3 linked regions of the Danio rerio genome follow. The protein of the gene in region 3 interacts with the protein of the main gene of each other region in a biochemical or structural test. Links are inferred from orthologs where the notes say so. Each region holds a gene or a part of one and is shown on either strand. Other genes may lie near its edges. The genes, in order: lck, csk and ptprc.

What was found.
Region 1: of the proteins of ptprc (region 3) and lck, one has a biochemical effect on the other in vitro, tested with the Homo sapiens proteins (5 studies listed by BioGRID and IntAct, with this or other methods). The link is inferred for Danio rerio from reciprocal best matches to the Homo sapiens genes PTPRC and LCK.
Region 2: of the proteins of ptprc (region 3) and csk, one has a biochemical effect on the other in vitro, tested with the Homo sapiens proteins (2 studies listed by IntAct). The link is inferred for Danio rerio from reciprocal best matches to the Homo sapiens genes PTPRC and CSK.

The regions. Positions count from the first base shown.
Region 1 is NC_133192.1:26,768,181-26,779,682, forward strand, and holds the start of lck (tyrosine-protein kinase Lck), read right to left. Parts: upstream 6,840-11,502; 5' UTR 6,810-6,839; exon of another isoform or gene 6,686-6,809; 5' UTR 6,604-6,685; intron 2,759-6,603; 5' UTR 2,754-2,758; coding exon 2,655-2,753; intron 1-2,654. UniProt on the Homo sapiens protein: Non-receptor tyrosine-protein kinase that plays an essential role in the selection and maturation of developing T-cells in the thymus and in the function of mature T-cells. Plays a key role in T-cell antigen receptor (TCR)-linked signal transduction pathways.
Region 2 is NC_133200.1:21,919,259-21,930,718, forward strand, and holds the start of csk (tyrosine-protein kinase CSK), read right to left. Parts: upstream 5,564-11,460; 5' UTR 5,215-5,563; intron 1-5,214. UniProt on the Homo sapiens protein: Non-receptor tyrosine-protein kinase that plays an important role in the regulation of cell growth, differentiation, migration and immune response.
Region 3 is NC_133197.1:22,810,250-22,821,038, reverse strand, and holds the end of ptprc (receptor-type tyrosine-protein phosphatase C), read left to right. Parts: intron 1-1,027; coding exon 1,028-1,171; intron 1,172-1,254; coding exon 1,255-1,345; intron 1,346-2,906; coding exon 2,907-3,037; intron 3,038-3,174; coding exon 3,175-3,309; intron 3,310-3,985; coding exon 3,986-4,108; intron 4,109-4,478; coding exon 4,479-4,645; intron 4,646-4,732; coding exon 4,733-4,868; intron 4,869-5,741; coding exon 5,742-6,095; 3' UTR 6,096-6,655; downstream 6,656-10,789. UniProt on the Homo sapiens protein: Protein tyrosine-protein phosphatase required for T-cell activation through the antigen receptor. Acts as a positive regulator of T-cell coactivation upon binding to DPP4.

The sequences.
Region 1 (11,502 bases), on a different chromosome or scaffold from region 3:
TAAACAGGGTGGAGCTCTTCTCATTTTCTTCTTTCACAAGCAATAATGAAAGCACCACCAAAGTGAGAGTAAACATTCCACCACTCTGATTATGCCATAAACAGCATCTGTTGTTCTCCTTATTTCCTAAATGACTTTAATAAAAGCAAATCGCAAGGAAATGTGTTTTAAATTTAGCTAGATATTTCAGTACCCGATTGATTACCAACACAAAGGCTCGTTTCCTTTAAGTTGTGTAAGCTTTAGTGGGTTGACCTGTCTAAAGAAATGGCTCAGTGGTAGGAACTGACAAAATAATTTTTAATTAGTTTTTTTTTTTACTTGTCTTTAACAGAAATGTGCATCCAAATTGTATTTAGAATATTAAATGCTTAAAACACTTTTAAATTGACGTGGTGGCGCAGTGGGTAGCGCTCACCTCACAGCAAGAAGGTTGTTGGTTCAAGCCTCGGCTGAGTCAGTTCTGTGTGGAGTTTGCATGTTCTCCCCACGTTTGCGTAGGTTTCCACTGGGTGTTTTGGTTTCCCCCACAAGTCCAAACGCATGTGTATAGGTGAATTGCAAAAGCAAAATTGTCCGTAGTTTATGAGTGTAAATGAGAATGTATGGGTGTTTCCCAGTGATGGGTTACAGCTGGAAGGGCATCCACTGCGTAAAACTTGTGCTGGATAAATTGGCGGTTCATTCTGCTGTGGCGACCCCAAAGTAATAAAGGGACTAAGCGGAAAAGAAAATGAATGAATGAATGAATGAATACACTGAAACAATGCGGCATCTGTTTTTAGTATCGTGTTAAGAAACTGAGGTTGTGCTGTTTTAACACATTAGCGTGAGGTCAGTGGTCTTCCACATTTAGCTGATGGCTGAGATTATCGGTTTGCTTTAACACACATTCAAATTTATGTTATGTTTCAACCCAATTTTCTGTAAAATATTGATAATCCTTACATTTTTTTTATTTAAAATAGTAACCCACATGTTTGAGTTCATATTCTAAGTTTGGCTTGAGACAACCTAAACTTTTCAAAGGTTTTCTTCTTCACTCCTTTCTCAAACTTAAGGTCATTTAACAGTATCATAAATGGTTTTCAACTAAACTAAACAATGTTAAACATCAAGCATTTCAGACAGAGGGATTTCCTGCAATCACACACACTCTTAAGAATGCTGGGCTGTGAAAAAAATAGATTTAGGTTAGATAAAAATATAATAATAATTACCAAAATTTTACATTTTTGTTTATATTTAACCCAAACTAGCCTTAAAACCACCCAACTTTTTTCGAGCGCACATTCCATTTCGGTTTCATCTGATATTTTTTCAAAAAACGCTTTGTGTAGCACTTTGTGAGAGATCATTGTGTTTTGCCTTGTGTTATAAACCACAGACATTTGTAATGCATTTAGTTTAGAGAATGACTCCACCACTTCCTTTTGCTTGCTTCTCCTTTAAACACTTTTCTATCACTGTCACACATTACAGCCTGCCATTTCTCAACTGCCTCACAAACAGAAAACTAACACATTTTAAAAAGTTGGAAGATGATCATCTTCAGCTCAATGTGTGAATTATACAGTGTGTCCATGGATGGTCCTCTATGTTGGGTAAAGTTACTTCTAAAAGTAACCTATTACAATTTTAAGCCCAGCCAAGACGGAAAAAAACACAAAAAAAACATAACACATTACTTTCCTTAAAAAGACGTTAAGAACACGTTAATTAATAAAAAATAAAAAGTCACTGAAGATTTTAATAGATTACATTTAAAAGCAACTTTCCCCTTACAATGTTGATCCTACAGGAATTTTGAGGAGTGCAATGGTCATTGTCCTTCAATCCTATATCGTCACATCCCTAGCACAGTTGGCTAACCATTAGCTACCTTAATTAGCCTAAGTTAGCGTAAGAGTTTTTTTTTTTTTAATGTATATGTGAATTATAGAAAATAAGGAAAACACTTAGTGTGGTATGTTTTATCACGATGCTTCGAACTGACTGCTGTGAAGTGAGCGACTTCTTTGCACTAGTCATGTGTTTAGCACACTTGTGTTGGATACTCCCTTAATTGTATTTTAAATATGTATTATAAGTTGTAAATTATGATTAAGCTTCATGTTGCTTCGAGTAAATTATTTGAGTACACTGCCACAGATTTGCCTTAAGTTTGCCCTAAAGTTGCTCTAATAATTTGCTAAACCAGGATAGAATAAGGTGACATTATTCCCCTTACACCATCTAAAGAAATCTTTAACGTCTAAGAGTATTAGCAAGAGTATTAAAAGTGTAAGAGTATCAGCAGATTAGCAGTATTATGGTTGCACTGAAAGTGAATTCTGTATAGGTTTATATACACATATGGTTGTTGTTTATAAATGTACTGTATATGATCAAAATTGATGTTTTAAAATGCTAAGAAAAATAAGGAGACAATTATATGTTTTAGCGCGGTTTGTAAAAAACATACTTATTTTCTCACTTAAAAAAAACAGCATGATAGAAAATATATAGCTCTTTCAAACAGTGTCTTATTATTTAGTTGAGCTTTATAATTAGAATGATTTTTCAGTCATGTTGAGTGGAAGTTTTCTAAACCGGAAGTGGAAGCCATTATTTAAACACAGTACACACACAAACACAGATGCTCAAACACACACCTGACTGACTGGAGGCTTGGGGCAGTTACACTGGTCACACCATTCATCTGGATGGTAGGAGAATTCATCATCAGGATCAAAAGAGCCGCAGTTCCCCATGTTTACTAAGCATGAGAGAAAATGGTGCAACTATAAGAATGCTGACTGCGTTAGACATTAATCGGTGTATAAATTCAAGAGGAACTGATCTAGCACTTTCCAAACAATCCTAAATTAATGAGAAATAAATATGTTTTGATATTATTGAGTACTTTTCACAAGGCTTTTCCAAAAAGAGTCATGTAAAAATATATATTCAACTGAAAAGCTGATTAATAATAAATAAATTATATAAATATAAATAAATTATGCAATATGATAGATAAACATTAAGATAATCCTTAAGATTAAGACTTATAATCTTATAATTGGCTTAAAATGAATGATAAAACACAATACAAATGCATAAAACCTTTCCAATTATTATTTTAGACCTATTTATTATAGGATGGTGTCTCTCTCACAAAAAAAACAACATATTTAGGAATCGTGTAGTATGTAAACAATTGGAAACCCCTAATATAGGTCTGTGTGACCATTGTTTGTTGTAATATTCTGTTTTGATTTTCATTCCAGTAGCTGCATTCAATTATTTCTGTCAGATTTATCATGCTGTAACTTTCCGATTATTATTTTACACCCTTTTTTATAATAGGATAGTGTCTCTCTCGCTAATCAAAAAAAAAAAAAAAACGTTAATATTTTGGAATATTGTAGCACGTAAACAACTAAAAACCCCTACTCTAGGTCTTTGTGACCACCATTTATTGTAGTATTCTCTTTTGATTTTAATTCTAATAGCTACATAGATACAATTATTTGTGTATTTTTATCATACTGTGACCTTCCAATTATTATTTTACACCCTTTTTATAATAGGATAGTGTCTCTCTCGCTAATCAAAAAAAAAAAAAAAAAAACGTTAATATTTTGGAATATTGTAGCACGTAAACAACTAAAAACCCCTACTCTAGGTCTTTGTGACCACCATTTATTGTAGTATTCTCTTTTGATTTTAATTCTAATAGCTACATAGATACAATTATTTGTGTATTTTTATCATACTGTGACCTTCCAATTATTATTTTACACCCTTTTTATAATAGGATGGTGTCTCTGTCACTGAACAAAAATGATCATATTTTGTAGCGTGTAAACAATTGAAAACCCCTAATATAGGTCTTTGTGACCACTATTTATTGTATTATTCTCTCTATTATTCTAGTATCTGCATTCAGTTGTTTCTGTAAGATTTATCATGCTGTAAATGTCCAATTATTATTTTAGACCTATTTATTATTCGATGGTGTCTCTCTCACTAAACAAAAACGATCATATTTAGGAATGTTGTAGCGTGTAAACAACTGAAAACCCCTAATCTAGGTCTTTGTGACCACTATTTATTCTAATATTCTCTTTTGGTTTTCATTCCAGTAGCTGCATTCATTTATTTGTGTAGGATTTATCATACTGTTACAAAGAGGGAATTAACGAAGCATATATTTTCTGTTTTTTGAGAATAAAAAAAGAACCACAAATATTTATTTTATATTTAACGTTTAATAAGAAAAACCGCCGGGTAGGAAAAACAGTTCAGGTCCAGATCTGTTAAAGGAGGTTAATCCTCTTCATGAGTTCTAGACAAATTGTTTCCAACTCACACGCTGAGTTTCAGAGTGTTATTTGAATGAATGAAAAGATTAGGGTTACACTAAACACGTGTGTGTGTGTGTGTGTTTTATTCTTGTTAATATTGTATTTTGTGTTACGAACATGGAACGTTCAAAAAACAATCCACATATTTTTTTAGTGTGTGTCAAGATCCAGTGTAATGCTAATGTGTACAGCACACACATGAAAACACACAAGTCCAAGCGTTTAAATTGGCCATAAGCAGACACATAATCGGAGCTAATGTGCTAAGTCAATGTGTATGTCTCAGTGGGGTTTGGACTCGTGAGAAACTGTTGTCGGGTCAGGAAAAGCTGAACCCCTGGGTCAGCAAGAACACTGTGTGCCTCTGGGACTGTTTGGGAGAACAGCCTGAATCAAAGCAGGATCTCCAAACAGAGACAAGACTTTCCACTGACCTCCTGACCCTATCGGTAACAGTGCAAATTCATCTCTGGAGATGCACGACAAGGTCAGATGCTTTTGGTTCCGATGAAATATGCAGCACAGTTAATGTTTGCATGACATGGGCTGATCTTTTTCATCACTTACTGTAAATAATCGAGTGCTTGTTTTGTCTTCCACACCGTAAAAAATCATGTGAATGTGTATTTTAACAGAAATTGTAGCTTGTGATTAAACTGGTGTTTATTTGTACTTTTGAATTGCATGTTGGCATCTTGATCTCTGCTCCATCAACTTTTGATGTTGAAAATCGCACCGTAAAGAAATGTAATTCACGGCAACAAATGTTTTGTCAGTTGAACTTATAAAATAACCTAATAATATTGCAGCTTAATTTTTTAAGTTATGCAAGATTTAAATTAATGTTTTAAGTGAATTTAATGTGTGTTGAAGTTAATTTGATTGAACTTTTTAAAATAAGGAAGCCAGTTCTTTTTTAAAGTGCGAACTCTGCGGTTTAACAAATCAACTTTCGTTGATATTATTAGAGTTTATTTGACACTCTTTTTCTGGATTGATCAATACACAAAGATCATGTAATTAATTTCCAGTGCATTTTTTTTTAGAGTTTACAATAAAAAAATAATATCATATAGGGTGTATTATTGATGGCAGATGGTTCCGTGCTCCTTCAGGCCTCGGTTTTCTCCTGTTACAGGGGATGTAATTCTGTAGTTTTGAAATGAAGGCAAACAGATCGAATGCCTCTGAAATCCCACTGACAGAATCACAGGATTTTCATGTATTGCTGTGCACTGTCTCAACATCATGCTGGCGAGCAAACAGAGGCCAAGAGGTTGAGACACGAGGGATCAACTTGACTGATTCACACCAAACAGTCAGAGCCAAGCCAGTGCTTGGTATTCATATACCGAACCATATTTTCAGTGTTCTTTTTTAAACGTTTTTTAAACTTACCCTAAAGAATATATGAGTAAAAAGTAATAACTCATTAATACATTAACATATTGTGATGGAATGATTTCGATTATAAATAAAGTGAGTCAATTAAATCAATTTGGAAAGTGGCAGCTACTATTAAAATTTTATCTATAGGGTTTTTTCTTCAGAAATTCCCTTTATCAAAAAAATCCCACCAGTGTTAATCTATCAGCACTTTTCTGTGACTGAAGAAGAAAACGTTTTCTGTTTTATTGATTTAGTGTTTAATCGCAATATCAATCTGAAAGCAGTTATAGTACTGAATGAAGGCATACTTTTAATATTGTGAAATTTACTTGACTGATCTTACAGTTGAACGGAACAACATTGAACAAATCAAAACAATTAAACAAATTAATAAAACAAATGTAACACATTTTGATCGTTAAGAAGACAGTAGCATAATAGTGCTCCAAAAATTTTACTTTGAACATTGAAGAAATTCAAATTGAAATGATTTCAAGCCGAACACACTCAGGTTGACTTTTACATCACATATACGATAGTAATATTCGACCAATATGGAAAATTGTGCATAATGTTCACACATGTTTATATATTTAAAAATAAATCGCTTTATATACACATAGCGATTTTTAGTAATTATTATCATGTCTGTTTAAGACAGTTCAACATCTTTAGATTTCATTTTTTTTTTATTGATTTATTTAATCTTTAACTATCTCAGGCTTTCATTTATAAAGTTTCAACACACACAACTAGTATTTTTTTTACAAAATATACCATCTGAGAATCCATTTTAAGTGTTCTGATATCATCCACTCATCAAAACGAAGGCAAGAAAAGTTATCTCCTAGTTAACAAAACGTACCGTATTTTTGTCGACAGAAGACACGGATATCAATGCTGGGCCACTTCAGCAGGCGTTGCCATGTCCCATAACCGTTATCTTTCTACCAAGAACACATTACACCTCAAATTACAGACAAACCATCGAGATCTTCTTCGGCGTGTTTCAAAGACATGTGCTGCCAAATTGTAAAAATGTGTACGTCACATCACAGTTTTACTTCCCACCTTAAAAGAAGCACTTGATTTACAAAGGCATCTCTCTCTCTCTCACACACACTCACGCGCACGCTTGCACCACAGCGGTGCAGAGCAAGCTGATGATAGAGCTTCCTGTCGTTGAGGTGTTTGAGCTGATATTTAACATTTTTTGCAGCAGGTGCTCGTCGCTCTGAGCAGCTGCTGTCACTGGGGTGAAGGATTCTGGGTCAGGACTCCACTTGTCACCTGGTTTTGTGGCGCCATGATGTCAAAGAATGGAAATTTTTAACGGCACTCATGGGTTTTTGGCTTGTGCTTGTGCTGAAAAGAACTACAAAACACTCCATTTGCATATTCATTTACACTTACAGATGCTTTTATCCTTGTGTTGTATTGTGAATGCACTTTTTATCAATTCTTGATTTCCTTTGAAATCACCCTCACAACATTGGTATTGTTAACGCCATGCTCTACCAATAGAGCTACAGGAAGGCTTTCATGTGTATCATGCATTGCTATTACATGTTAGATTTGATTGTTCTGCTTTTTTCAGACAAAGTCACTGTTGTGTCAGTGCAGAGCTCTCTAGCTGCATCATTTCTAAGACAGACTGACGTTTTTTAAGCAGCTACTTGGATATAATGAAGACATCTCATGCCTCTCTTCATTATCTGTCTACTTGTCGCTCTCTCTGAGCAAACCGCACACTTTTGTTGTGGCATCAGGCTGCAGATACTGCATGCAGTTGCAGGAAGTCGCAGCCCAAACATTCAAAGGAAATGAGGTACATTCTTCACTTTTCGACTGCAGGAACGCTCGTCTTAATTTAGACACTTGGGCCCGTCATTTGAGTTTATTTTTGGTTTGTGTCAGCCAACACTCTTCGGACTTCACCTCTTCATGTGGTGAGTCTGCTGATTGCAGCAGAAAAAGAGTGTTTCGCTGTGGTTTGGTGAAAAAAGGGAGAGATGTTGTAAGGTGAATATATAATCTCTATTATTCTTCTGTTGCTCAATCCTTGCAAGATGGACCACACAATAAGATCATTTTGACCACAGTACACTGTAAAAAATAAAAAGTTGAGTTAACTTAGAATATTAATGCAACCGGCTGCAAAGAAATTGTGAGTTTATTAAGCTTCAGTGGTTGAAGTTGTACTAAATAATTTTTTTAAGTTGTCTGAAAGGGCTGGTTTAAGTCAAGGATACTTTTTTAAATAATTTGGCACAACTTCAACCACTGAAGCTGGATAAATTCAAAATTTCTTGCAGCCAGTTGCTTTAAACATTTTAAGTTAACTAAACTTTTTTTTTCAGTGGTTAACGCTCAAGTGAAAAAATCTCCTCAAATATTTTTTTTTTACATTTTCATTGAACAAACAGTTCCAAACATGCAGTTAAACTCAAATTTCATTTTCATGTGTAAATTCAACTCTGAGCTCAAAAATTTGTCCACCTAACTTACAATTTTAAACTGAGTTAACAATTTTTAAGCTGTGTTTTTTAGTGTACCAAATTCTGGTGGTTGTTTTTGGTTTTGTGATAGACATGCAGCAATGGCTTGCTTTTTTTTTTTTCTTTGGGGTCTTGTGGTTGAGAAGAGGGGGGGTTGAGGGAGAGAGGATGTGGAGCGTGGCATTAACAGACATGTTCATGTTTACAGGTATTTCATCTCATATGAGAACAAATGCTCAGATGATGATGATGAGATTGTGAATTCTTGTAACAAAAATGGGTGTCTCGGGAGCCTCAGGGGCCACAAGGGGGTGCTGGGAGAAAATTTGAAAAGTTAAAAATGTTTTATGGATTTTATTGGAAGAACAAATGGTAAGGTATTTTGATGGTCCCTTTTGCATATTTTGTTGACCAAAGGTTGAATTGCAACTACATGCCAATTATTTCTCAACTGAGTATTAGTAGACTGTCTGCTTAATATCTGCTGATGCTGCCCCTTCAACTGACATTTAACTATAAGACTAAGAAACTTTGCAAATACATGTGAACCCATACTAACCCTAGCCCCAACCTAACAGTCTACTTATAGCCTTATGATTATTAGTTGGGATGTAGATGCAATGTTACTTAAATTCAACAACAAGTGTGAAAGGGACCATCAAAATAAAGTGATACCGAACAAATAATCATAGTTCTGATGTAGAGGTTTATTTCTCCTCTTTTGCAACATTCATTCATTCATTTTCCTTCAGCTTAGTCCCTTATTTATCAGGGGTCGCGTCAGCAGAATAAACCACCAGCTATTTTGGCAAATGTTTTTACCCAGCGGATGCCCTTCCAGCCACAACCCAGTACTCTGAAACACCTATAGTCTTTTGATTTCACACACTTGGTCAATTTTTAGTAAGCCCAATTCGCCTTTACCGCATGTCTTTGGACTGTGGGGGAAACCAGAGCACCCACGTGAACAGACGGAGAACATGCAAACTCCACAAATGTTGCAAGTGTTGCTGCAAAGCTGCTTTCAAACAACATTTAACATAGTATTTAAATAGTATTTTTAAATATGTTATTGAATATTAAAATGTTATCATACTCGATGTACTGTCACAGAAGGGAGACTGAGACCAGAACAGAGTGAGTAACTGTAACAGTTTATTACAGAATAGTGGTATATGGCAAACAGGAATATAAGTCTTTTATCTTGCTGAGGATGAGCAGTAAACCAGCGATGGAATGAACTGGAGACTGATGGATGACGAGGAACACTGATGATGATGGGACACACACAACCAGTAAAGAACAGAAACTAAAGATTCACTGGAGCAGACAAGATAAGTTTCTCGAATAGGAATAGACTGACTGTGAGAGTTCGTCCTTCTCGAATGCGACGAGGCCAGACACTGAGTGAGGAAGCACGCAGGTATTTATGGGCTGGAGGGATGAGCAGGATATGACGTGCATGTGCGCTGTTGATTAGTATTCGAGTGACGGGGATCTTGCTGATTGCGATGACAGTGAATAGGGTGAGTCATGTGATTGTGAGTGGGGAGAACCTGGCCTGGCTGTGACACACTTTAAATTCGAATGCATGTAAAACAAGTAAAGTACAGTATATTAATAATTAGATTAAATTTACATATTTAAACATTTAAACATTTCTATAGATTTACCATTAATTTGCAAACATTTGCGTAAATTAATTATTTGTTTTAATTTATGAACTATATAGATAACACGCCATAACATTTTCAAATAAGAATAATACTATTCATAGCCTTGTAAAAAGAGTAGTTACTGTTTTAAATGAAGTTAAATCTAATAAATCCTCTTTATATTAAGTGGCCGTAATACTATCATCTTACGCAGTACACTTATGTGCAATGCACTTTTGTACACAAGTTTTCACATCATCCATTTATTTAAAAAAATATCTATATGTAATCAGATTTAATTCATTTATGTGATTAAAATTATAATTACACTCTTATAATTATTGGATTATAATTGTACAATTACACCTACTCATACCACCTGACCTGTTCCTAACCTCACCCATATACCACTTCAATAGCACTAGAACTGTTGCGCAATACAATATGAGCACATTAAGTACATTGTATGTATTTCTTACCTACACTGTAAAAAAAATCCTGGTTACCTTAAATTTTTATGCTGTATTAAATTACCCTTATGAGTCCATTTAACTTCAATTAAGTTTAACTGACTTAAAACTGCTTGCATAACTTATGAAATTAAGTTAGAATATGATTATCTTAGTTTAATAACTTACAATGAACTAAAATATATGTCGTCATGACTTATTGTTCATATATATATATATATATATATATATATATATATATATATATATATATATATATATATATATATATATATATAATTTTTTTTTTTTTTTTTAGTGTAGCAGATATGACCACTTTATTTAAAGTGAGACCAAATTGTCAACTTCAACTTATACTAACATTAAACAGACTTGATGCATCAAGAAAAAAAAATGAAGTTGAAAAAACTCTGTAAACACGCTACAATTAATGTAATGTTGGAATTTCAAAATATCAAAGTTGAACAAATGTCCTCGCTTAGGCTTTGTTAGGGTAAAAAAACAACAAAAAATACTTTAGTGCTTATACACTTTAAATTTTAGTTGAATTGTGTTTTTAAAATCCTCTCAACATTGAGAAAAGCTAATGTTTACCTGACTAATAAACACAAATCCAGCCAATATTATAATCTTCTTAAAACTAGAGTTAATTCTGGGTCACAAAACCCATAAATAATAATAATAATAATAATAATAATAATAATAATAATAATAATAATAATAATAATAATAAATAAGGTTAATGATAATTAAGCTAAATGATAATAAGCTTACACTTCTTGATCTTTTAAAAAGTGAATGTTAAGGACACAGTAAGTAATAAAATAACTAATTTCTTTAAATTGGAAAATTCTTTAAAACATTTGGGATCATTTAAGTACATAAGTCACTGGTCAATTGTTTTTTTTTTGGATACTCTCATATTGCACATATTATGCCTTTAACTTAATAACTGCAGTTCAAACCCAGCATCAGAATGGGGAAGAAAGGTGACTTTGAATGTGGCATGGTTGTTGGTGCTAGACGGGATGGTCTGAGTATTTCAAAAACTGCTGATCAACTGGAATTTTCATGCACAGTAATCTCTAGGGTTTACTGAGAATGACCAGAAAAAGAGAAAATATCCAATGAGCTGCAGTTC
Region 2 (11,460 bases), on a different chromosome or scaffold from region 3:
AGACCTGTGCAATTCAATTCAATTTCGAAATTCAATTTCAATTTTGGTCTTTAACATTTATGAAAAAACATTAATCAAGAATAAACTATTATTACGTCATATCCAGCAGCCATATTATTGCGTCAGATCTCTCCGCTACTCCAGCAAACTGCATTCATTTCACTGCAAATGACACGTAAGACCCTTTCACACATACAGTTCTTTTTGGAAAATTACCGGCAATTTTCCGGAGAGGTCTGTATGTGTGAACTGGCCCTTTTTGAAAATACCGGTAAATTCGTTCCGGTTATTTTCCCGAATGAGAAGTTGTAACATTACCGGTAATTTGCTGGTGTGCTGAAAATGTTTCTCAATATGTTTTCATCAAAGTTGTTCATAATACTGATCCATCCACAGAGTTCGTAATGTAGTCAAATGTTTACAAATACAAGCGCAGCCGTTTAGAGGTCATTTCTGGTCATTTCTGGTCAGAATTTATCAGTATTTTGGAATGGATGTGTGAACGGTCTTTTCCGGGAAAATTCCATAACGTCCTCGTCTATGTGAACAGCGCTTTCTTGAATTTACCGGTAAAGTCGTTCTGGAAATTTTCCGGATATTTACAAAAGATAGCAAAAGCCAAAGAAATGCGGTACAGGTGAATTGGGTACACTAAATTGTCCGTAGCGTATGAGTGTGTGTGTTTTCCAGAGATGGGTTGCGGCTGGAAGAGCATCCGCTGCGTAAAAACCTGCTGGATAAGTTGGTGGTTCATTCTGCTGTGGCGACGCCGGATTAATAAAGGGACTAAGCCAAAAAGAAAATAGATGAATTGAATTGTGTAATTTAATGATTTTTGAAAAGTATAGGTGTAACAGCAACCTGGTTTTTACATATACACACACAATGTGTGGTCATGTGGCCCACTGATAATCATTTTAAATAATCATGATTACAATCATGACCAAAATAATAGTGCTGTGTTTCCCATATCATTATATAAAGGGGGCGCCCCACCCTCCCAAGGGCTGTACCTGCCCCCCTTAATTAAGTCACATTAATTGGATTATCTATGTAGCGGCAGATCACAACGTTTTTTTATTAAACAAGCTAAATAGCCGTATGTAATATCTTATTTACACAACAGCATGTAATTTCTGTTCTGCGCTCGCATCACTGCAGCTAAAATATTTACAAATGCAGACATCCCAAGTTTCTCGAAAGTTCCGGGAGTCTCCCGCAAATGCATAGAGACCCCAGACGCTTGCAAACGAATACTAATCTCCCGGAAATCGCGCATGTCATATGCTGTGTTGCGAGCGGAGGTATCTCCTCCATCTAGTGCATGGATGTCAAACTCAATTCCTGGAGGGCCGCAGCCCTGCAGAGTTCAGTTCCAACCCTAATTAAACGCACCTGATCAAACTAATTGAGTCCTTCAGGCTTGTTGAAACCTACAGGCAAGTGTGTTGGAGCAGGGTTGGAACTAATCTGTGCAGGGCTGCGGGAATAGAGTTTGACATCCCTGATCTAGTGTCTAGTTATGACTTCTCTCGAAAGCTCTGCGTGTCTTCCGCAAATTCATATTGTGATCCCCCCCAAAATAAACTAAAATACTCAGCAATCATGGCGACAAGAGTGAATAAGCAAGTGAACAGATCGCGAGAGGCACAGTGATGGTCTAAATATTACATTTCACAGGTTAAATGAATAGAGCAGTAAAGATAAAGCGAGTGCAAATCCCCTCTATCTCATTGAGAGATCTGCTGTCAATAGTTGGAGAGAGGCAAAATATTTGACTGGTCCTACACATATTTAGGCCTTTTTACATATAACAACTGAAAGTTCTGTGTTGATAATATTAAAATTCACTTTATTAGATAAAACTTTTTTTACATAAATATTTACTAATATAACTACTTGTAATACTCATTGCTATAAGTAGTAGTTTATGGACCTATTTCCTTTTAACAAACAAGTATTAGATTTATAGATGTGCATTTTAACTAAATTTCATCTTTCATCATTTGCAATATTTCCAAATTGCATAGTTTGTCATTTTTCTGTGGTGGTTCATTCTACTTTGGTGACCCCTGATAAATAAGACACTAAGCTCAGTAAAATAAATGGATGAAATATTTTCTGTAGAGCTGCATCTGGTCATGACATGTTCACATCTAAATTTTTATACGAGACATGTTTAATAAATGTCTCAATAAATGGGCCAGACATTTCTGACTTTCCATACCAAGAGGCACAGGAAGTGTTCTTCCAGAAGCCCAAAAAGATACATTATAGTGACAAAAGCTGCACAGTTTGTGAATAAAAAAAGATATAAAATAAAAGTTAATTTATAAATTACAAACGGTTGTACAGTTCAAATAGTTGCTCAGTTATTTACTGCTGTCATTAAAAGACCATGACTCCTTGTGTCAGTGTGAGGCTGAACAGCCATGCTGCATTGGGCCGTGTCACACCACAGCCCCAACCCCCCAAAAACTTAGGGGAAACACTGTAGTGGTTATGATTTTTCCCATAATCAAGCATCCCTAGTTGGCGCTTCTGTCTGACACTGTTCATGTGCATGAGAAAAACACATTCTCCTAAAAGCCGTTGACAGGAAATGGAATTCGCAAGGTAAAAACAGGAGTGGTTTCACTGGAGACATCCAATATCTTGGCACTTTCATCTGATATACCTACCTGTCAGCTAGTATGTAATGCAGCTCAGTGTCCAACTGAATGCAAAAATAGTATATCACTTCACTTTAAAAACGAATAAAGAGCAAAATTTTTGAAGAAATGTGGTGGCTCATAACATGTAACTAATCTAACTGTATCAACAAAGTAGTTTTAGACAGCTACTTAATGTTTATTCTTCCATATTAATAATATTTTTTTCAATTCATGTAGTTATGTTAAAGGCACATTACGTTTTCCTAGGCTGCTTTTTTCAAGCCGTACCTGCAAATACTGAGGCAGTCTTCAAGCCTGAAAAGAAATACTATGTGCTTTACACTATGGCAACCCAGGATGCTGGAATATAATTGGGTAAATTTTCAGTGGGAGGGGTTACACAGACTAAACACCACACTCATCAAGGATAATTAACTGTAGCACTGTTTTTTAAATTAACAAGTATACTTCGTATGTGGGTCATCATATTCTTCTTAAATGTCTGGGTAAAAAAACTAAAAACAACCTTTTTCCGCTTTGAATACGATGGCTGTGTCTGAAATCACATACTTCCAGACTATATAGTACATGAAAAACATATTATATTCATTCATTCATTTTATTTTTGGTTCAGTCCCTTTATTAATCCGGGGTCACCACAGCGAAATTAACCGCCAACTTATCCAGCACGTTTTACGTAGCGGATGCCCTTCCAGCCGCAACCCATCCCTGGGAAACATCTACACATCATCATTCACACTCATACACTACGGACAATTTAGTGTACCCAATTCACCTGTACCAATTTGACAATTGAATTTGACAGAGACACTGACTACATTTACATCAGTAATCAAATTATTTGCCTTAATCTAATTAAGACAATAATATTATTATGGTGTACACGAGTTGCTTTTTGAATGTTCCTTTCATGATCAAGTTTTACATGTTATAGCACATTATTCGATTACCATCATTGCGTCACCATGCTATCCACATTTTCTCCAGAGTTTCATGTCATTTTGAGTTTTTTTAGTTTTCATTTTTCCACTTTAACTGCAGTTTGGTTCTTTCACTTTCATTCAGGAACATTTCATGCATGCACCCGTGACAAACAAGATATTGGATGCAACTATGAATTGTTGGATGTGTGTTGTTTTAATGGAATTTCATACCGCTCGCTGAATGGAAAAAAAAAACTTTGCATTTCACAGTGCATGTGTCTGTGGTCCTTAACTGACTCTAGGTGCAAAGAATAGTGTCAAACAGCCGTGTGTGTGTGTGTGTGGACTATCCAGTCGCAAAACGCAGCAAAAAGTCCTACATGATGGTAATAGTTTAATTAAGCTGTTTACATGTCTGTTCTGCACTTCAATAATGAAGTATCGACATACTCCACATGTCTTAATTCGATTTCTCTTTAGTTCAATTATAATCTTAATCGGATTAAATTAATCAAAAATCACTCCTAACCAGAGTATTGTCTTAATCGTATAAAAATCTGATTATTGGTGTCCATGTTAACAAACTCATTATTGAGTATGTTTACAGTACTGTAAAATACTTCCTTACACAAAAAAAATGTAAAAACTGCTCGCTTTTCTAGTGAAAACTTCATTTTTTCATGGCAAGGTTGACATTTGCATGGAATTGCTCATTTAATATTGTTTATGTACACAAGTGGAGTCACATTTGTGCATTTTCTCCAGTCAAGCCCATTCCAAAGATTTGACTGCGTACAGGACTACGTACAATGTGAACCATTATTATGACACTTTTACTTTTTGTCATCATAAAGCCATTCTCTATTCACTATGAAAATGTTAGAAGCAAGAACAGCCAATAGAAATCTGGTTTGAAACAGCATGATAGTTACAATTCTCCTTATTTGGGGAAGCGTGTCTTTAAAGTCTGCACTTTAGCAGGAGGAAGTGACCTTTGGATTTCAACCTTTATAAATGCAACTCATTAATATTAATAAAGGCAAAAACACAGAGAGACCTTTCTGCTATGATTTGAATAACCGTCTTTTTAACATGGGATTTTTTTTTCTTTTTAAATACCATGACAGGTTGGGTCACAAATGACTCTGGTGGTGTTTATTAGTAAATAAGTTTACTATTTCCTTTTAAAAAGGGTATTATTATGGGTCAACTATGTACAGGCCAGACCTACATTCAGATGTTGTTATTAAACATTCAAGAAACCATGACAACATAATCCAAAATGATGCTGATGGGGAACAGAACGGATGGTCCAAAAAAAGACAATGCATCTCAAAATGGCATTAGTCCATTTCGCCTTCTCGCACCCAGTGCATTCTGGGAACAAACCCTTTGCATCTTGAGCATATGCTTTATTTAAGATGATTAACAAAACATGAAGGACACGTTTTTGTCTCATGCAGCAGCTTCAAGTGGCTCTTATTTAGACAGCTGTAAAACAGACCCATCGCATTCAGATTCGCAAACACAATGCGTCCATTATGAGACGTCCAAGTAGATACTAAAAATATGGTTAATATCACGCAGTTACATTAGCGAAAACAAAAACACATTACCTATAGGTGTTCTGCAGATGATGGTGTCCAAATGCCTTGAAGTTGTAGATGTTTTAAGATCGTCCACTTAGTCCATGTGTGGGTCAAACCCACCAGAATGCATCAACACGAGATACAGACGTGATCATTCACACATTCGGCGTCAAATAGATCTTCCAACGAGCTTTCCTTTAACATCAACCCAGACAAAAGATGTTCGGTTCGTCCGTGCATACAAATATACCCGCAAAAAACCGTTAAAGACAGCGGCGGTTATATATACGCCTCACATACAAAACACACAGCGCGGGAAAGAAAACAAACGGTTCAGCCCCCCAAAAAAACGCAACTGTTGCAGCTTATTACTGACCAGGGAAGTCGATAAATGCTACGCCGCCTAAAGCGAGCAGTTTTTAAGCTTTACGGAAGCGCAGCACACCCTAGGGCTCCAGCTGTCTTTTACACACACACATTCACAGGCCCTTGAAAAGGAAACGCACTTCTTCAGACAGCCCCGTTTGTTGTGCGCATGCGTCGTAATGCTACGAATTCTACTACTGCGAGGGCATATGGCTTCTCAATATTAAATATGTGAGGCTAAAGAAAATTTTCCGAAAACAAGAGTAAAGCAGGATTAATGACAAATGTTACTGTGAATATGTCAATATTAACGAGGTTTACAAAATAGACACTGAGCAATGTTAGCATTGACTGCTTAACATTCATAAGATAGTCCCTTACCGTGGTAGGATTCATAAGTTTGCAGCAGGAGCGACAGCAAGCGTTTTTAAAGAGAATTGCAACAATAAAGCCATTCAAATGTAATATATAAAGCAAGGGTGCCCAAACTTTTTCTTACGAAAGGCCAAAATCTAAACATGATTGAGGGTGGTGGACTGAAGCCAAACATATCAAACTGCTTTACATTAAAGTTGTCATGGTAACTCCCTAATTTAATAATATAAAAAAACTATAATCGTATGAATACTTGTATATGTATTTTAAATTTTGTAAGGTACTTCTTACAATAAAACCATAAACAATTTTATTTATAACATAAAAATCGTTCAACATTTAAAAAAAAAAATGTGTATAAGGATTTCATTGCCCTGGTAAAATCTGATTCATTCACATTCAAAGTTTTGTTTTTTTGTAGCTCTGCAATTAAACCAACAAACAAAAGATTATGTAAAATTAGAACTGACGACCTCTTGCCCCAACCTTCCCCATCATTTGTCCATGTCTTCTATGAATCAAAGATTATCATGGGCCAATTTTGGCCCGCGGGCCCTAGTTTGGGCATCTCTGATTTAAAGAAACTCTTAGACCAGAATTTTAATGTGAATTTGTAAATGCAAGAGGTAGGTGACTCTTTTTCTATCCAGTAGAAAAATTAGGAACATTTTTAGCTGAGAATGCAAGTCACAAGCTTCTGACATTTTGATATGGAGCCAGATGAGTCTCAAAAATAGTAAATTTGCAATATATTATTCATACATCCACAACACAAGAAACATTTACAAAATCCAATTGGTAACTTTAAAAACACAATTCGAAAGTTCAAAACACAATTTGTAATTACACAAATCCTGTTCGTAATTTCAAAACACGATTCATAAATACAAAAATCTAATTCATAAATTTGAAACAGGATTTAAAGCTGCAAAAATCCAATTAGTAAATTCAAAACACGATTCATAAATACAAAATTCCAGTTTGGAATTCATAACAGGATTTGAAAATGCACAAATACAATTTAAAAGCTCAAAAAAAATCGTAAATGCACAAATCCAATTCGTAAATTCAAAACACGATTCGTAAATGCACAAATTCAATAAGAAAGATTTAAAAAATGATTCCTGAATACACAAATCCATTTTAAAAGTTCAAAACATGATTTGTAAATACACAAATCCAATTCAAAAGTTCAAAACACAATTTATAAATACACAAATCCAATTCATAAATTTTAAGCATGATTTAAAAATGTATAAATCCAATTAGTAAATTCAAAACACGATTCATAAAAACACAAATCCAATTCGAAAGTTCAAAACACTATTTATAAATAAACAAACGCAATTCATAAATTTAAAATACAATTTAAAAGTGCCAAATCCAATTAGTAAATTCAAAACACGATTCATAAGTACAGAAATCCAATTTGTAAATTCAAATCAGGAGTCGTAAATGCACAAATCCAATTCTAAAATTCAAAACAATTCGTAATTACACTAATCCAATTTGTAATTTTAAAACATGATTCATAAATACAAAAATCAATTTCATAAATTCAAAACACGATTCATAATATACACACAAATCCAATTCATTAGGTGAAAATATTTATGATTTTTACTTGTGAATTCACAAATCGTATGTTGTATTTATGAATTATGCTTTGAATTTACAAATTGGATTTTGTAAATGTGATTGACCTTTGCATGTATGAGTATTATTTCTAAAAATGTATTATTTTTGAGACTGATTTGGCCCCATATTTTGATAATTAAAAACCCTATAAACAACACAAAAATAATATCCATGGCTCTTAAATCACAATGAGGTTAAATTATTTAATTACAAATTTTGCCTCATAAAACCTTAATGTATTGTCAGGAGCCAGCCCTTTATTTTATTCTTTTTAAACTGAAAGTACTCATAGCCCTTGATTTTATGAGACACCGCAACACATATTAAGAAAAAATACTCAGGTGAAGACAGACAAAAAGAGTTTGTCAGTATTGTAATATTTATGATCCTTTTATTAAAAGAAAAAAAAAAAAGACAAGAACAACATTCACAGCCATATTTCCATTCTCTTTATTTATTCAGTCCTTGCATTTCAAGGTTGACAAAGTTGAGCATGTAAGGTTTCCAGTGATATCAGAACTATTCTGAACAGATATGTTGTTAATTTATAATTAATGGTAACAAGTTTGTTGCCTGAACAAATTCACAAAATTGCATCTTCCCTTTTACAACAGGTGCAGAGATAAATGATAAAGTTATGCAACGCTAACAACCTTTATCTCATGCTTCTGTGAAGAAAAAGCTACGAGAATGGAAATGAACCAAAAATATGCTTCTTTTTTTTTTTTTTCAAAGATACTGAACAAAACCTCCTGGAACCTTCAGTGATGTCATTGTGACAAATATTGAGGAGCCACGCAAATGAACATCAACAACACTTCTTCAATTGCTCAAGACAGTTTGGTCATAGATTTTAGAAGCAAACTCCTATAGAGGAATGATCTCAAACTGCATTTTAACATCTAAGTATATGCAGTGCTTAGGTATGAAACAATATTCAACTGAATATTACGACTGGGCTCTGCAACTATTATTAATTAGAGCCAAATTGTTTTGTTTTTTTCTGCAAATCAGTAATACAGCAGTAATATTTCTAATCTCAAGTAACAAGTGGATTTTGGCAACATTTTTAAACTCTTATAGAGCTGGATTTGCTGAATAATTAGACACGTATGTACTCGTCCACTATAAAATGGATTTCACTATTCGGTGTTCTCAAAACATGGAACAATGGAATTTCATTAGCATCATTAATTATCTTTCATTAATTTCCTTTCCCATTTAGTCTTGGTTTTTAAGCTCAAAATGTATTTCAGTGAACCAAACGGCTCTCCAACAGCCATCAAAGGCTGTACCAGTGAACTTACAGACAAACATCAACAGAAAAAAAAGAACAATTCACATTGAGCTTTTTGCTCCCCCCGCATCACTAAGACTAGCTGATGTATAAGGTCTGTTGGTTTCTAGTTTCTCCAAACACTTAAGACAAGAAATTTTAGACACCTGAGGAGGTCAACTTTAGTGACGTCACCCCTAGATTGTACATAGCTTAACCCAAAGTTTTTTTAAAGTATAAGAAATAAACATACAATGACCAAGAGAACATGACAAAGATCATACAACAGAAAAAAAGAGAAGTTTGGGAGAGGTCACAATAAAGGTTTAACAAAATGATATTTAGAAAAAAAGAAGCAAATGAATCTGATGAAAGCAGTACCTTATTTCCTGGTTTCAGTTGTAAAACATTTCAAAGTTTATTTCTATCACATTGATTTATTTCTATCATATCCATCTTTTATAGATGACTTTTGTCTTGTAAGTGCCTCTCATATTAAGTTTGAAGGAGTGAATAAAGTTGCCTTTATCAGTGCTCCCTGAAGAACTCTTCATACGTTACCCAAAAGTACTTGGGCTCACTGAATTATGGGTTTGTGCGCACAATATTATGACGTGTAATAAAATCACGCATTAATTTCAATAAGCAGGTTTACTGCAACACATGAAGCATCTCTCCTAATAATAAAGATCCTTGTTTGGTATAACCAAACAAACAACCTTGGCTCAATCGGAAACCCTAAAACTGGATTCCGTGAGTTATTTCTTTTCTGAACACCGAAAACAAACATAAATGAGGTGAAGTGTAGCAATAATAATTAGAATTGGAAAATTGGTGGTATTGGCCAATAACTGCTTACAATGCTCAGTACTGGTCCAAATGTCAACCAAACTAAGTTTTTAGTATGTTAGCTCAATCTGAATCCCTAAAACTAGATATCGTAGGTGATTTTTTTCTGACCACAAAAAACGGAAACAAACATAAATGAGGTGAAGCATAGCGATAATAGTTTAAATGGATAAACTGGTGGCATTGGCCAGTAACTGCTTAAAATAAACAGAACTGGTCCATGGTCAATAAACAAAGTTTTCAGTACGCTGACTCAATCTGAAACCCTAAAACTGGATTTTGTAGGTAACTTTTTTTCAGACCACCGAAAATGGAAGCAAACATAAATGATGTGAGGCATAGTAATAATAATTAGAATAGGACAATTGGTGGAATTGGCCAATATATCTGCTTACAATGCTCAGTACTAGTCCAATGTCAACCAAACTAAGTAAACTGGATTTCAAAGGTAATTGTTTTTCTGACCACCAAAATTGAAAACAAACATGAATTAGGTGAAGCATAGCGATATTATTTAGAATTGGAAAATTGGTGGTATTGGCCAATAACTTCTTAAAATGCTCAGTACTAGTCCAATGTCAACCAAACTAAGTTTTCAGTACGCTGACTCACCTACGAAATCTATTTTTAGGTTTTTAGATGATTTCTTTCTGACCACCCAAAACGAAAACAAACGTAAGCGAGAAAAAGCATAGCAATAATAATTAGAATAGGAAAACTGGTGGTATTGGCCAATGACTGCTTAAAATGTTCAGTACTGGCCCAAATCTCAACCAAACTAATTTTTCAATATGGCGACTCAATCTGAAACCCTAAAACTGGATTTCGAAGGTAATTTTTTTTCTGACCACCAAAAATGAAAACAAACGTAAATGAGGTGAAGCATAGCAATGATAATTAGAAAAGGGAAGTTGGTGGTATTGGCCAATAACTGCTTACAATGCTTAGTACTGGTCCAATGTCAACCAACCCAAGTTTAGTATGCTGACTCGATCTGAAACCCTAAAACTGGATTTCATAGGTAATTTTTTTTTTCTGACCAGCAAAAATGAAAACAAACATAAATGAGGTGAAGCATGGCAATATTATTTAGAATTGGAAAATTTATGGTATTGGCCAATAACTGCTTACAATTGTCAGTACTGATCCAATGTCAAGCAAACTAAGTTTTGACAATGCTGACTCAATCTGAAGCCCCAAAACTGGATTTTGTAGGTAACTTGAAATGAGGTGAAACATAGCAATAATAATTAGAATAGGAAAATTAGTGGAATTGGCCAATATAACTGCTTAAAATGCTCAGTACTGGTCCAAAGTCAACCAAACTAAGTTTTCAGTATACTGACTTAATTTGAAACCCTAAAACTGGATTTCATAGGTAATTTTTTTTCTGGCCACCAAAAATGAAAACAAACATAAATGAGGTGAAGCATAGCAAACTAATTAGAATAGAAAAATTGGTGGTATTGGCCAGTAACCTCTTACAATTCTCAGTGCTGATCCAATGTCAAGCAAACTAAGTTTTCAGTACACTTCCTGCTTCCTATTCAAGTGTGCAATGTTTTTATCACTGATAAGAAGCCAGTCAATCTGTCATATTTACAGCACACCAGGCTTGGTCAACAAACCAAACAACACTTTGTGTGAATAAACTTACTGCCTCAATCTCAGTTTGAGGTGAAAATGACGTTGATCAATCTGGCACGAAATGAAAAAATAAAAATAGAAGGGGAAAAGACAACCCCCTCATCTAATGCACATTTTTCTAT
Region 3 (10,789 bases):
CGAGATCGTACTTGCGCTTCGACATATTTGATGCTATAATTAAATGAAATTTTACATGTCAAACAGTACGGTTGTTGCACACGCATTTTACAATAAAAGTCCGATATAAGCTAATTGAGTTAAAATTTTTACTTTTGTATTTTTGTTTTTTTGATCACACACTCCGCGACCCACTAAAAATGTTCCCGCGACCCACAGTTGAGAAACATCGCTTTAAGGTAATCAAAAATCGCTGCTTACATGGTAGACTTTTAATCACAATTATCTTAATCCTAAAAGCAGAGTATTGGAGTCCATGTAAATTTACTGTAGTGAAAGTGGCCAATGAAGTCACAAGCTGTCAAAGACAGCCACAGCCCTATTCTCTGCCTTTAAGCTAAGTTACTTCCATGAGCCCTCACATCGCGTTGCTTTACGTTGCTGTGTCAGAATCTTTGCTTGTAAAATACAGCCATACTGTAGAACACTTAGTTTAAGCAAATTTGATTAACTCGATCATGCGTGTTGATGAATCTGAAGGGATCCTCACCGGGTCTGCTGTATTGTGTGTGTGTGTGTGTGTGTGTGTGTGTGTGTGTGTGTGTTTGTAGTCCACTTAGAATCCAACATGAAAATCATTTTTGTTTGTTATTGGCAATGATTGTTTTGAAATTCAAATGGCACTTAAATGCCTGTGTTTTTATTTCTGTAATAAATATGGCATTTTGTGCTTAATCAGTAATTAATTAATCAATCTTTATATTAATCGTAATTAAAAAGAGTGATTAATTAAGTTTTTTAAAATCATTTAACAGCCCTAATATATGTCTGTATGTATATAAAAACTTAACATTACACTCAATTCTATTTGCTCTGGAGTAAATAACTGATGATCGTTACCAAATGTTATCTTTAAATGTAGTCAAATTATATTTCACTTTAAACCACTATAAAGACATCCATCAAATTAGTTCTGTATGCAAGCAATAAGATTTCATGAGTGTGTGTTTCCTTGATTTAACATGTAACACTGTATTGATTGTTTCAGGCCCAGTACATACTGATCCACACAGCTCTAATAGAGCACAATCAGTTTGGAGAGACAGAGATCCTCCTGTCTGAGTTCCACTCAGTGCTCAACACCATCAGAGAGAAACAAGGCAATGAGAGCATAATGGAAATAGAGTTCCAGGTTTGTTCCATTTTATTATCTGGCTGATTGTGTGCTTTTGACTGTTAATGCACATAGTCTTCTCTCTGATTTGCTTTACAAAGAAACTGCCGAAATTTAAAAACTGGAGAACAATCAACACAGGAAGCAGCGAAGAAAACAAGGACAAAAATCGGGACTCAAAAGTCATCCCATGTGAGTTATCAAAAGTGACTTATAGTAATATGCATATTCATACATTCATTTTCTTTTTGGCTTAGTCCCTTTATTAATCAGGGGTTGCCAAAGCGGAATGAACCACCAACTTATCCAGCATGTGTTTTACACAGCAGATGCCCTTACAGCCACAACCCAACACTGGGAAACACACAAATACATACACTACGGCCACTTTAGCTTACCCAATTCACCTGTGCCGCATGTCTTTGGACTTGTGGAGGAAACCCACTTGAACACGGGGAGAACATGAACCATTGACCTTTTTCCTGTGAGGCGACAGTGCTACCCACTGCGCCACTGTGTTGCCCTAGTATACATATTTATATAACTCAAAAAATTCAAAGAGACAACTCAAAACTCTCTAGATTTATGCTTTGTAGTTGTGTTTGTGTAAAGTATAACATTTTCTACTGGTTTGTGTTCAATTTAAGACTTTTAAAAGACATTTTTAGATCATTATAAATGAAATTTTAGACTCAAAGCGATAAACGCTAAGGAATTTTTCAAATGGTCCAGATGGAAAAGATTTTTATTTGCCCTATCAAATATAAGTACATTTGATACATTAATTAATACAATAATAATTAAATATATTTTTAAATATTTTTAGTATTTCTTTGCAAAATATTTCATATATTGTGTAAAAACAAGCAAGCTTTACTTGTATCCATACACTTTTTCCAACATAAACTTTCTTTAAAATAAAAAAAATAAACAAAATGTTTTAAAAGTTATAAAACTATAATAAAATAAATCTACGCACAACAATCTGTCCAGGTCAACGTCCTCAGCAGTAAATACTATGATGGGCTGAAGAATCACACGACAAAAAGAACTAGTTTAGATCCCAGAGGGTGGATTTATTTACAAAGGTGCATGAGTGCAAAATCCAAAGTGGTGCTCCAGCGGGTGATGTTCTTGCATCCGTGGGGTGCTCAGTGTCTGTGAGATGGGTCTAGGAACCCGATCCGTCACCAACTGCTGTCTGCAGGAAAGAAAGGGAGAATAAGAGTTACTGCTCTGTTTCCTTCGTATGCTTCTCCCTTTCTAGTTCTTTCGGTGTGGCTTATGTAGCCGGTCTTGGATGAGTTGCAGCTGGTGCTGATTAGTTGGGAACGAGAGGGCCCAGGTGTTCCTCGTTCCTCTCCAGGACGATGCTGATAGCTTCATGGGATGCTCGTCACAATACATTAAACAAATGTTACTGTAAAGAAAATAATGAAACCATTATGGTAAATAGAGTTAAAAATTACCTTGTTAAAAAGTTTTATTTAGATCAATTGTTGCATGGGTGTTGGCCAGACTGGGTAGCAATACATGAACAAAGAAAAATTAAGACCTGATGTTAATACTAATAATAATTACCTTTATTGAATTAAAGAAATATTAACATTTCATTAAAAATCACACCTACAGTATTAGTTCCAGTAAACACAGAAAAAAAAAAGATTTTTAATTTGTTTTGAATTAGTATCAGATAAATATTATTATTATTATTATTATTATTATTATTATTATTATTATTATTATTTTGCAGATGATTATAATCGAGTGTTGTTTCGACTGGACATTGCGGGAAACCAGACCAGCGACCCTGAGGATGACACGTATTCATCAGACGAAGAAGAAGAAGAATCTAATGAATACATCAATGCTTCATTCTTAGATGTACGACTTTTGATTTTCTAGGCTTTAATTAATTTATAGATTTTATATTATTCAATTGTTGGACTAGAGGAGAAAATGTAAAATAATGAATAAATTACCCAAACGTTAACCCATACACACCTTTTGATTTCCAACAGGGCTACTGGTGTCAGAAGAGTCTGATCGCAGCACAAGGGCCTTTACCAAACACAACAGCAGAGTTTCTGCTCATGCTGTACCAGCAGCAAACTAAAACAGTTGTTATGCTCACAGACTGTCAAGAGGACGGCAAGGTATGAACTCCCACAGTACCAGACAACAGATAGAAACAAATATTGCTAAAGTCAACAGATTTCGCTATCACCAAATTATGGAACAAATATTGCTAAAGTCAACAGATTTTTCTTATAGGTGACTGAATAATGCAACAAATATTGCTAAAGTCAACAGATTTTTCTAATAGATGACTAAATAATGCAACAAATATTGCTAAAGTCAACAGATTTTTCTAATAGATGACTTAATAATGCAACAAATATTGCTAAAGTCAACAGATTTTTCTAATAGATGACTAAATAATGCAACAAATATTGCTAAAGTCAACAGATTTTACTAATAGCATTCCAAATAATGCAAGAAATATTGCTAAAGTCAACAGATTTCGCTAACAGATCACCAAATAATGCTACAGATATGGCCAAAGTAAACAGATTTTACTAACAGATCATCCGATATTTCTGTAAAAAAAACATAATGATGTAAAATTATTCTAAAAGTCATTTTTTGACTTAAGTGAAAATTGGCATGTTTACATTTTTCTCTCATAAAAATAGTGGGTTACGCACTAAATAAACATCAATGACATTAAATGTTTTGGATTTCGGCACTATTCTTGTTTTTTTGTAGACATTTTCTGAAATTTGATTGATTAGACATTCCGGTAGAGTGACCCATCTGTATTTTTTTTAGGATTTGTGCTGTCAGTATTGGGGAGATGAAAAGAAAGTGTTTGGAGATATGGAAATCGAGGTGAAAAAGACAGAAAGCTTCCCAACATATGTAAAACGTCACCTGGAAATACAGTCCACAAAGGTAAGTGGAATATCTGTCATGCTATTAACTGAAGACATGTTATCTTCGTTGAATTAAGTCATTAATGTGTCTGAAATCACACACTACTCATGTTGGTTCTGACCGTATTTGCCGACCTTTAAAAAAGTATGTTCTATATAGTACAAATGTGAGTAGCATAAATTAAATTTAAACATACTACATCGACCATTTATTATCACATCACCTACCTTATTTACCTACCTGTGAGTCATCCAAGTACTTCTCACCTGTTTACCAAATACAATTAATTTAGACAAACTACTCAGCACACATATTGTTTTCACATACAAAATTATTGTAGTATATCATTTTGGATGCACTGATTGATTCGTTTTTAATCCTATAATAGAAGAACGAAATCTTGGAGTTGGATCAGTACCAGTTCCTAAAATGGAAAAGCAATGAACTTCCAGAAAATGCTCAGGAGTTGATAGAGATGATAAAGAACATCAGAGAGAATGGCAAATATGACAACAGCAAAAAAAACAGGAGCATCCCTATAGTAGTGCACTGCAGGTAAGGCTAATACCGGAGACCTACTTTTTCTGGATGGATCTATGGATAGATTAAATAAATCTATCTATCTTAATCTCGTTTTTCCAGCAATGGGTCATCGCGTACTGGACTCTTCTGTGCTTTGTGGAATCTTATGGATTGCTCATTAACAGAAAAGTTGGTTGACGTCTTCCAAGTGGTCAAAAACTTGCGCAAGGAGAGACAGGGAATGGTGGAAACATTTGTAAGTTTTAATTCTTCTTTTGTAAATAGGATTTAATGAATTTTCTATTACTATATATCAAAAATATTCATCAATAAATGTTCATTCAAATGCCCATTGTAATTTTGTGGCTTTCAGAGAAGTATTGTTTTCTTGGGCCATATTCACATTATGCAAGGTTATTTTGTAATATAGGCTAATATAGACAATTTCAATGAGGTGATGCAACTAGCCTATGAACATTTCCTGCTTGTCCTGCTTGTAAAATTATTTCATAAATGTAGTAAGAGACAATTTAATAATAATAATTTAATGTTAAAACAGCTATTATAACACCATTTAGCAATATGCAAACCTTTTTTAAAATTCTGAAGCTATGGAAATTAAAAAAGTAAAACAGGAAATACAATAGGACCATTGGTATTGTTAGCATGCCCTAAACGGCATATAAAAGATGAAAAATATAAAGGTATAAAGAAAAGGAACAGAACAGACAAAACAAACCCTGACTACCTTTTTTTCTATATATTTCTAACAAAAAATTAAGCGTCTTTTAAAATGTTTCACAAAAAAAATCAAACAGGGCCACACATTCATAGTTTAATTAAAATCTTGCTAACTCTTGTCAAAATGTTTCTAAAAAGTGCTTTTAAAGAGATTTCAAAACAATAGGTTTTGAAGTAGGCCTACCTCAGAGAAAAGTTAACAAACATGGCCACAGACAAACCATATTTTTTAGCTAATTCAAACGGTTTTTGCTAGCATATGCAAAAAAAATGCTAACCAAAACCGGTTAACGGTTAAAAAGAATTAATAGTTAGTTAATGTATATCAAACAAATTAATAAACTATATTAAGTTACACTTCTGAAGTAAAACTCTGAACTCATCACAGGAGCAGTATCAGTTCCTCTATACGACTCTGGAGGGCGCCTTCCCGGTGCAAAATGGCACCATAAAGACACCGGCTGCAACCGACAGCGCGGAGATCATCAACGAAACACCTGTGCAGATTAACGAAACCACCGCGCTCCTCGCCGAGCCCGCCGCTGAGGCCGCCACCGAGCACGCCAACAGCACTCCTGCTACCGAACAGAAGGAGACGGAAGACGGTAAAACCACGACGGAGAGTAGTGAGCTGGAGGCCAAGGAGAACAGCAGTGCCGCGGCTTCACCAGCAGAGGGAGACGGAGAGAAAAACACACCGGAGGCCACAACCAACGGGCCCGCCGCCACTGTTGAAGCTTAGCCATTTTTATTCAGCTACATTTTACTGATTCGACACCAAGTGTCTGCCAAAATTGTAAAAAATAATATTTCTGGTATTTTTTTGGTTATATTTTAGTTTTACAGTACATTTGTTGTCGTTTGACCAGCATGTTACTGATCCTTTTAAACTTTTCCTCTCAGGTTTGAATTTTTCTGTGTAATTATGATATTTGTGACAAATCTGTTTATATTGATTGTTTATTCACACGTGTTAAGGTGTTGCTTTATGATCTGAGTTTATTAGGCTATCAAATTGCATTTGAATGTATTGTAAAATAGGACCTTACCATTTGTTTTGTTTTTAGAAAACTATCAAAGCACAATCTTGCGTCTAAATTATGTTGTATTGGAAGTTTGATGTGAATAAATATTTTTTATTTTTTTATGTTCAAGAATAACAAAATATGGCAAGGATGACTTGTACTACAGCTGTCATCAAACTATCTTTCTTTTTACTGTGTGTTTCTGAATCTTTCATAGGCTACCTATTTTCATTTTAAGCAGATGTAAGTTAACAAAATAATAAAGGCTTGAACAATATGACTGGTAATTGTTTTTATTCACCAATAGAATGCCTCTTCATTGCAATGTTTTCTATTTTAAATGAGTAGAAATGTTATCAGGATCCAAGCTGGTGAAAAGGGTTCTTTTTCTCAAAAAGTGGACTGTTTTGCAATTATACACCTCATTTTCAATTGAATTGTGAAATTTAAATACTGCATTTTAGTGACATTTAAGCACTTTTCTGAATTAGCTTGTCAGATAGTCATCATAACCACACTTTTGACGATTTTAGCCAAAAACCTATTTAAATGTGTACTTTTTTGGTGCTTCGCACCTTTTTATTGGTAATTTTTTGTTTTAAGAATGTCCAATATTTAAAATGTTTTCTCAAGAATACAGTGATCCGTGTCTTCTCTTATGCCAGATGTGCCACACGGGGCTACTAAAATGAAATACAATGAAACAAATTACTCACACCAAACGGGTGCATAAGGCTTAAACAAAAAGCATGCCTATTTCACAGGTGAACATAAACACGAGCAGTGTCACTTGTGCATTCGGGTCAAGGTATTTCCTTATGGTTAATTTGACCCGCTTTTGTGCTCGTCAGGTGCATAAACCTGACCTAGAAAACGCAAAACGTTTGAAATTAGCGCTACTGTGACTTAAAACAAGCCTTTGTATTGTAAAGATGAACCACAAGATGGCGCCTGTTAACAAAAGAAGCGCGTGCACGGACATTTCATCCATCTTCAAGCCAGCATGATTTTTTCCGGTAGGCCTACTAATAAAGATGTTAAATAAAAGCAACATCAGTTAGTGTGCCACTGTGGAAATATGTAGGTCTATAATGTATGCTTAATTTCTAACTTGCTATGAATAAAGCAAATTATTTAATATGCCTATTTTTATAACCTATAGGCCAATATGTTACATTATACAGTAGCAGAGGTGTATTTGGAAGAGTTTTATTTATTAGTCTGTTTGTATGCTAAACATTTTAATATAACTGTGAACAAGCCTATAATAATTAAACATAATTGTAAGGATATTAAATTCGGGGGGAATCATGCTAAAATTCAGGGGGAAACAATTTTGTTTTCCTTATTGTGAAATGGTGACACTGGAACAGATGAATATTTTACTTATATATCAGTAGCTCCAAATCCAAAAGTCAATTTTTAGTCAATATAATCTCACTAGAATAATTGCATTAACTATATTTATTAAAACACACACACACACACACACACATTATTATTTTTATTTTTTTATTGCCAGCAGTCAACAGCAGTCACTTAATTCTGCAAACTATTAATATAATTTCATCTACATTAAAAATGCACATTTTGTCATTGGAACATTATAAGTTGTTTCAACACCTTTCAACTTTTGAAATCAATTAGTGGAATAAACGTGATTTTCAGTGACAACAAATCTAAACATTTGTTAAATTGCCAAATGTCCTTTCTAAAGAAAAAAAAAAACTTCTATATGTCAATAGGCCCATATTTATTAATATAAACAGTGCTCAGCAAATAAAAGTACCTCCATTTTTAAAAATGAATATATGTATCTATTTCTCAGGGCATATGGGTAATATTGGTGCATTTGAACAAAACAGATTTATCAAACAGATGTATTTATTAAAATAATATTTTAGTCACAAAACATATTTACAAATTTAAAGATAATACATTTATATTCAAGCAAAATATTACAAAAAAACATTACAGCCTACAAAATTTCCACAAAACCTTATATATATATATATATATATATATATATATATATATATATATATATATATATATATATATATATATATATATATATATATATATATATATATATATATATATATATTTGTTAATTTTTTATATTTTTGAAAAAAATATAGAATATTTTCCCCTAACATAAAAATTCGGAATACTAATTTTTGAACCATAATTGTAAGTTATTTTGTCATATTGGCTCCAGATTTGGCTTCAGTACATGCTAAACTAATGCGCATTAATATAATATCATAAATCATCTTATAGAAAATATAAATTTAAATCAGAGATTTAAGGAGGGTGTACTTATGTATGCTGAGCACTGTATGTATATAATATTAATATATATTATTTTCTATGTACAATATATATATATATATATATATATATATATATATATATATATATATATATATATATATATATATATATAAGTATATGAGGATTATCAAATGTCCTTGTTTGTGTGTGTTTGTTTATTTTTTTAATTTATTGTTATGCATGAAGAATAGAAAATACTTGAAAACAGTAACTTTAAATTAAATCTTAATACATCCTAAGCCATGTTGACATTTTAACCATAAGTATGTATGCATTTTTAGGGGTTAAAGTGTTAAATAGGGCAACACGGGGTGAAAGTGAACTGTTTTACTGTGAGCCACGTCTGAACGGGTCAAAGAGGGAAATTCCCTTTAAATAAATCATCAGTGTATCTGCGAGCTGCATTTGCATTCAGCTGTCAAGTGTAACTCCTCCCCGCCATGCAATTATCATACCATCTTTCATATGCAACATTTCAACTCACTGTAGTTTTTGTGTGTTCATGAAATGTATGAGAATCCTCCTTTCTCCTACTGTACGTTCAATAGGAGATTTAACTGAAACTGGCCTCATACACTCTGTAATTAGTGTGTTTTTCTGTGACGGGTTTCGTCTCTAATTGAGCACTTCAAGCTTACTCTAAATATAGCAAATGAATGCAGAGATGCTCAAATGTTCTCTGCGGTTCCTCGTTATGCATGTTAACATGCTATTGGCCGTGCTTCATATTTGCATCTGGCATGAAATATGGGCTGCAGGACTTTTATATTTATATTTAATGTATTTTAAAGATGCTTTTATGCTCAGACACTTACACTATCTTTAGTATTTATGAGCAGTTTGAGGGAAAGGGGGATTATGCAGTCCTGTACAGTAAGCTAAATATTGTTTTGGCATAATAACTTCAAAATAAGTTTGTATGTTTCATTTCTATATTTCTTAGTAAGCTTTTTTAGGAAGCCATTGTTTGTTTTGTTAGTCTGTAATTACAGTCAGAACGAAATCAAAATATGTATATAGTAGTGCGCTTGTTATAAACTATTTATTTGCGTTCTTCATTATTTTGTACAAATTAATTTGCCTTCATAATATTTTATCAAGTGCCATAACCTTCCGTCCCCTTCAAAATGGCTTTTCTTCATTTCTGGTCTTATGGAGTGCTTCTTGGGAGGGGCTCTCGGTGCTTGTCTTGTTTCTGACCTACTTTTGTCCGTTCATCAATCTTCTTTCATTTTGTTAACACTCATTTTCCAACAATCCAATCGGTGCCTCAATGCAGAAATCATGCATTGCCCTACATTTTTTATCTAATTTAGGAACTGTTTAATGTGAATGTAAATTGTGATAGAAGAAAATTTGGACGATCTTAACTTTGGTTTCATGGTGACTAAAGGAATTACAGTCTTTTCCACAGTAGCCTAAATCATTTTTAAAACACAAAGTTTAGATTTGTTTAGAAAGAGTATCAATGTCTCAGTGAAACGGAAGTTGTTTCTTTTGATTCTTTTGTTTCAGTATTTTGATGTAATAAAACAGATTATCGAGTAAGGGGTGAGGCTTTCTTTTTCCATGTCATTCCATTGTAAGATTAAAAAAAGTATTGTGGCTGAAGATGTCAAACTGATTTTAACAGAAAAGTACCGTCACTCCAAACACAGAAGCAAATGGGGACTAGGGGTGGCAAAGCTGGAGCACTTTAGGGCCAATCCCAAATAATTTGTTTTTAAAGCATGACGGTAAAATGCAAACGCAGTTATAAATGTATTAAAACATGTGCTTGTTTGTCGTAAAAATTTGTAATAATGACAAAAAATACAAATTAGTGCATCTCATGACTTCTGGGTGCAGCTATGCAGCCATTGTGGCTGGTGTATTCTGGAAAATTTTCTTTCTCCTTGGTTTTGAGTGTGGTCCTGAAAAATCTCTTTTTCGAAAGCTATCTAGCTCTTCCTCTTTGCCCTACGCCATCAAGATAAAGAGAATTGGGACACCCATACCCCTTCATGTGAACACGCAGAATGAGGGTAAGGGGAAGGGCTAAAGGGTATAATTGGGATTGGGCCTTACTCTGGTT